Rattus norvegicus: one gene and its partner. The protein of the gene in region 1 purifies or fractionates together with the protein of each later gene. This does not show direct contact. Links are inferred from orthologs where the notes say so. Each region holds a gene or a part of one and is shown on either strand. Other genes may lie near its edges. The genes, in order: Gemin4 and Snrnp70.

The links.
Region 2: the proteins of Gemin4 (region 1) and Snrnp70 purify together in Homo sapiens (affinity purification with mass spectrometry; 5 studies listed by BioGRID and IntAct, counting the BioPlex papers as one, with this or other methods). This does not show direct contact. The link is inferred for Rattus norvegicus from reciprocal best matches to the Homo sapiens genes GEMIN4 and SNRNP70.

What each region holds. Positions count from the first base shown.
Region 1 is NC_086028.1:61,566,109-61,568,686, reverse strand, and holds part of Gemin4 (gem-associated protein 4), read left to right. Parts: intron 1-678; coding exon 679-2,578. UniProt on the Homo sapiens protein: The SMN complex catalyzes the assembly of small nuclear ribonucleoproteins (snRNPs), the building blocks of the spliceosome, and thereby plays an important role in the splicing of cellular pre-mRNAs.
Region 2 is NC_086019.1:105,002,693-105,006,516, reverse strand, and holds part of Snrnp70 (U1 small nuclear ribonucleoprotein 70 kDa), read left to right. Parts: intron 1-2,175; coding exon 2,176-2,240; intron 2,241-2,362; coding exon 2,363-2,425; intron 2,426-3,824. UniProt on the Homo sapiens protein: Component of the spliceosomal U1 snRNP, which is essential for recognition of the pre-mRNA 5' splice-site and the subsequent assembly of the spliceosome. SNRNP70 binds to the loop I region of U1-snRNA.

The DNA of each region.
Region 1 (2,578 bases):
GTAGCACAGTCTCCTAATCTACCCACTGTTAACTCAGCAGCCAGTTGTCCTCTTAACACTTTGCTGAGGGATCTTAGTCACTTCCTTAATTTTTATGGACTTCTCTGTGTTGGCACTGCCTATACTCATATCAGGCCTTTTCTCCTTAACTCATTGCCTTTGCTGAAGGACATCACTAAATGTTCTACCTCAGACTCCAGGTAACCAGAACTTGAAGCTTGTCCTGCCTGAGGTTAAGAGCAGATTTGTTTCTTGTAGACTAGAGTTGAGTTCCCAGCAGCCACACCAGCAGGCTCAATGACCCGTAACTCCAGCTCCAGAGGATCCAGCATCCTCTTCTGGCCTCTGTGGAGATTGCATTCATAAGTATAAACCCCCACAAATACAAACACATAATTAAAATATTTTTTAAAATACTTGAAAGCCTATTCTGAATCCCTCTCTGCCTCCTATTTCCAGAGAGGTACCATTGTCCTGATATCCAGGCCAGATATCTTGGAAACCAGTTTTTGTTCCTCAGCCAAGTCCAGGTGACCCCAGCCCTTTTGGAGCTCTTACTAACCTTCCTCCCCTGCTGATGTCAAGGTCTTCTTGATAATGATAACCATCTGACGGCTGTTTCTCCTAGCTTCTCTCACTATTCCAAAAACTTCATTAACTCTTGGCTTCTCTGTGCAGGACCCTTGAATATCTGTGAGGAAATGACTATTCTGCATGGGGGCTTCTTGATGGCTGAACAGCTATTCCACCCCAAAGCCCTGGAACAGTTGACAAAGTCTGATTGGGAACACGTGGGACAGCCCATTGTAGAGGCCTTGAAGGAGATCTCCTCAGCCACAGCACATTCCCAGCCATTTGCCTGGAAGAAGAAAGCATTAATCATCATCTGGGCCAAGGTTCTTCAGCCCTCCCCTGTCAGCCCTTCTGACACTGATACTCGGTGGCAGGAAGATGTATTCTTTTCCGTGGGCAACATGATCCCTACCATCAACCACACAGTCCTTTTTGAGCTGCTTAAGTCCCTGGAAGCTTCTGGACTCTTCATTCAGCTCCTAATGGCCCTGCCTACCACCATCGGCCGCTCAGAACTACAGAGCTTTCTGGAGCACATGACTATTGACACTTCTTCCAAGGATGTGGCTTTCTTCCTAGATGTCTGGTGGGAAATGATGAAGCACAAGGGTGATGAACAGGACCCCTTGCTTTCCCAGTTCAGGACGATGGCCCATAAATACTTGCCATCCTCAGATGAGTTTTCCCATCCTCCGAAGAGGTTTAAGTCTGACCCAGATGTAGGTCCCACCATGCCACTTTTGGCTATGCTGCTTAACGGGCTGAAGCAGATCCAAAAGAGAATCCTGTCCCTTGGAATGAAGTGCTGTGCATTAGCTAACTTGGCTGACATGCTGAGCGTGTTTGCATTGATGGAGGATGACACCCAGGAGGTGTCTGCCACTGTGTACCTAGACAAACTAGCGACGGTGATCTCTGTGTGGAATTCAGACACCCAGAACCCATACCATCAACAGGCCCTGGCAGACAAGGTAAAGGAGGCAGAGCGGGACGTGAGTCTCACCTCACTGGCTAAACTCCCCAGTGAGACTGTTTTCATGGGGTTTGAGCTTATGTACAACCTGCTGCAGGAGTGGGGTACAGAACTACAGGACATGCTCAACAGCAGTCAGGGGACAAATTATGACACCTACCGGCTGTGTGACAGTCTGACTTCCTTCAGCCAGAATTTGGAGCTCTACCTGGATACTGCCAGCCTGCCCAAGGAGGAGAGGGAGGTGGTCTTAGAACTGGCTAAGTGTGTCAGGGACTTCCTGAGGAAAACCAGCAGAATGCTGAACGACAAGGGCCTTGAGGACATCACTGCCTCCATTGCTATGGCCATCATTGAACAGAAGATGGACCGGTACATGGAGATGTGCTACATTTTTGCCTCTGAGAAGAAGTGGGCCTTTTCAGACGAGTGGGTTGCCTGCCTGGTTAACAACAGGTGTCTCTTCAGAGAACCAGACTTGGTCTTGAGTCTGCTGGAAACAGTGATGGAAGTCATAAACTCTAATAGGGTTATCCCCCAGACTCACATCAAGCAGGTAATCTGCTTGACTCTGGAATGCTATGAAGACCTCTCTCTACCAGATAAAAATAAAGTCCTTTCTGGTGTCCTGCATTATTTGGGGCCAAAGGGCCTCTCAGACAGGTTGTCTAATTACTTGGAGGGTTTTCAGGAAGATCTCAATACAACGTTTAACCAACTCGCACAGAGCACCTCTGAACAGGGCCTGGCTAAAGCTGTGGCCTCTGTGGCCCACCTGGTGATCCTGAACCCAGAAGTTGTGGTGAAGAAGATGTGTAGCCTCGCTGTGACCAACCTTGGCACACATAGGTTTTTGGCTCAGATTCTCACTGCCTTCCCTGCCCTGAAGTTCACAGAAGAACAAGGGCCAAATCCATATACCAGTTTCATGGTGTCCTGCCTCAAAGAAACTGTGTGGACCAAGTTCTCTACACCCAAAGAAGAGAAGCAGTTTCTGGAGCTGGTGAGCTGCCTGATGAATCCTGTGAAACC
Region 2 (3,824 bases), on another chromosome or scaffold:
TTCATGTTATGAACTCATGGTGACTTGTACGTGCAGGAGGAATGATTATTCCCATTGCAAGATGAAAAACAAGTAGTATGTTGTGGAGTTGTAGAGTATCTTATAAAGAGGGGGCGTTTCAGGTTTCACAGCAACTAATGGAAAGCCTAGTGAAGTTTTCTAGCTGTAAGGCTTCCTGTAGTCTAGTTCTGTGTTAGGGTCCTGACAAGGGAGTCCTAAGAAGTTCAACCTTGACACATATGCACATTTAGGCACTGGCTGTCAAAGAGAAAGGAAAAGGGGACAAGAATCATCACTGATTCCTTTTCTTTTTTAAAAATAAAACTTTTTTAAAGATTTGCTTTATGTATGAGTGCACTGTAGCTGTCTTCAGACTCACCAGAAGAGGGCATCAGGTCTCATTACAGGTGGTTGTAAGCCACCATGTGGTTGCTGGGAATTGAACTCAGGACCTCTGGAAGAGCAGTCAGTGCTCTTAACCACTGAGCCATCTCACCAACCTGACTCCTTTTTTCTTTACTCCTCCCAATTTTCAGCACCCTAGGATTAACCCTGCCTAGGGACAGGTAGTGGGATGAGGTCAGCAATGTTGAGGGGCATCTCTTGAGTGGAGGTGCAGTTGAAAGCCTTAAGTTTTGAAGAGCCCTCTTTTGTTATGACCATGCCCTTTTTTTTTTTATTCATTTATTATATATAAGTACACTGTAGCTGTCCTCAGACACACCAGAAGAGTGCATCGGATCTCTTTACAGATGGTTGTGAGCCACCATGTGGTTGCTGGGAATTGAACTCAGGACCTCTGGAAGAGTAGTCGCGTGCTCTTAACCGCCGAGCCATCTCTCCAGCCCATGACCATGCCCTTAATGATCAAAAGGACTACCACCATGGCTGATTCTTTGGATCTAGTTTGCCTGTTGGTGGGAAAGTCACAACTGATAACTGAAGAAGCTTGCAAAATATTAATGCCTGTGATCTGTCAATATGAGAAACACAATTTGTAACAAAGACCATTTGTCTGGACTGCTTAAGCATAGGCAGGCAGAAGAAATAGCCCTGCTTTCCTGCTTAAAGGCCCTAGACATGCCTTGTGTTCTTCCAAATTGCTATGATCCTGAGAAGGACGAAGATCTTTAAGTTTTTTAAGATTTATTTATATACACTAGAAGATCCCATTACAGATGGTTGTGACCCACCATGTGGTTGCTGGAAATTGAACTCAGGAAGATCTTTGGAATGACAGCTAGCTGCTGAGCCATCTCTCCAACCCCCAACCCCCTTTATTTTGATTTTTTTTTTTAAAGAGCATTGCTTTCTGTAGCTCAGACTGGCCTCAAATTCTTAGCATTCACCTTTTCCCCAAACTGTGTTTTTATCTCTTCTATGACCTCTTTATTTAGCAGTTCTAGCTACATTCTAAGGATTGTAAGAATGAGAGAGCCAGGGTGGCTGATAAGATGGGCACAGAATGTTCAGCACAGGGGTGCAGCTTCTAGCACCCCACACCCCATAAAGATTGGTTAATAGATTCTTGGTTTTTTTCTGGAGACTTAATTCTTGTCCAAATGGAACAGTGTCTTGGAAGTTCCTGGTCATTTGCTTTTAGCACTAGCCCAGGGTCCCTGCCTCAGGGCTAGGGAATGGAGGAGAAAACCTATCCTTAACTATCTTCCTTTTTGAGACAGGGTCTCATTTCGTAGCCCAGACTGACCCCACCTATCCTGGACTCTGGTTCTGTAGTCTGAGGTCTGAGACTGTTTGGTACCAGGTTTGCTCCTTTGCTGTGGTTGCAGTCTGTCACAAGCTAGCTCAAGCCATTCCTCCAGTGAGATCCCACAGCCTTGGGTAATGCTCAGTTCACCTTGCACTGGGAATGGCTAGCCAAAGTATATAGTTGTGAAGTGACTTTTAGGTCTTCCACATCCTGTTTGATGTTTTTGCTATCCCAGGAGACTGTTATCATCATCTGTCAATCACTCTAGAAAAAGACCATTGAACTTTAGTGAAACCAGTCCTGAAACGGGGTGTACTCGAGCTTACTAAATCACACTCAGCTTTTCTCTCGGGGTCGGGGGTGCCTAGGTTCCATCTTCATGTACTCGGCCTCTTCCCATCCATTGCTCCTCTATCCAAAACTGTGGGCACTGTCTACTTCAAAATGATCTTCTCTTTGTACAGGGGACCCTCACAATGATCCCAATGCTCAGGGCGATGCCTTCAAGACTCTGTTCGTGGCTAGAGTGGTAAGTACCCAGTTCCTGTCCTGGGTATCCTAGGCTACTGAGAATTTGGGTCTAGTTCTGAGTGGTTCAAGGGCTTTGGAACAATGTGCTTCTTCCACTTAACTTAGCTTTATGTCTTGTAGAACTATGACACAACAGAATCTAAGCTGCGAAGAGAGTTTGAGGTGTACGGACCCATCAAAAGAGTAAGTGTGTCCAGGTAGAGGGTTGAGGTGGGGGTACTTGGAGGAGGGAGCAGTGGCCTGAAGAGAAGAAGGCGGCTGGGTTCCCTGCCTAGGAACATCATTCTGGGCCTGGGTTTATTTCCTTTAGTATAGCTTTAATGTCAAGTAACATTGGAAATGGTGAGGCCTTGTGGATTTGAAGACCAGCTCTGCAGTGTTCAGCCTGCTGTAAGTTGGTGTATGTGCAGTCAGTCGATTAAGGTTAAGTCAGCCCATTATGGGGTTAGGCTGTGTTTGGGTGGTAAGTTGGTTGGAATTTTACAGTTTGTACTTGCCTAAAACTTAATGCAAATTATTGCCCAAGACCTCTTAAATTAGTTATTTGTTCTCTTCTGCCCCCAGGACTAGGGCTTAAGCCCAGGGCAGAGGTGTATATGCTAAGCAAGCATTGTACCTGAAACTATATCCCTAGTCCCTGTATAATTGCTGCGTTATAGACTTAAGAATTCTTTGTTTTACGTATATGGGTGTCCTTTGCCTGCTTGTATCTGAGTGTATTACTACACTGGTGACTGGTGCACAAGAAGTCCAGAATAGGTTGCTAAGTTTTCTGGAACGGGTTACACAGGGTCATAAGCCACCATGTGAGTGGTGGGAAGCAAGCCGTGTCCGCTGCAAGACCATCAAGTGCTCTTAACCACTGACCCATTTCTTCGTATTCCTGACTGCCTGTATGTATTCGTATTCACATGAGTGCAGTGCCCGTGAAGGCCAGAAGGCATTGGATCTAGAATTCCTATGACTGAGCTGCCATGTAGATGTGAGGGGACATCTTGGGTTCTCTGCACTGCCTTATTGCAGTGGGAAGGAGGAGAGGATTGGCATGTGTGGAGCCACTTCAGATGGGTTTTCTTCCTTGGTATGAATCCTGGAGATCAAACTCAGCCCTCTCCCTGGCTCTTAAGATTGTCCCACAGAGTCTAGGCTGGCCTTGAGTTCATTATATAGAGAAGATGACCTTCATGACCTTCAATTTTGATGTTTTAGGGGTTGAATACAGGGCTTCATGCATTTTTAGGTTATTACTACCAACTAAGCTACAGATCACAGACTTTTTTTTCTTTTTTTTTTGGTTCTTTTTTTCGGAGCTGGGGACCGAACCCAGGGCCTTGCGCTTCCTAGGCAAGGGCTCTACCACTGAGCTAAATCCTCAACCCCTTCACAGACTTTTTTTATTTGTTTGTTAAGACAGGGACTAACTATTCCAAATAGGCCTCTCTTCTTTTTTTTTTGTTTTTTTTTGTTTTTGTTGTTGTTGTTGTTGTTGTTGTTGTTGTTGTTGTTGTTGTTAAGGTTTTCTTGCATGTGTGTATAACAAGTGCGCACAGTGACCTCAGTCTGGAACCAGAGTTATACATAC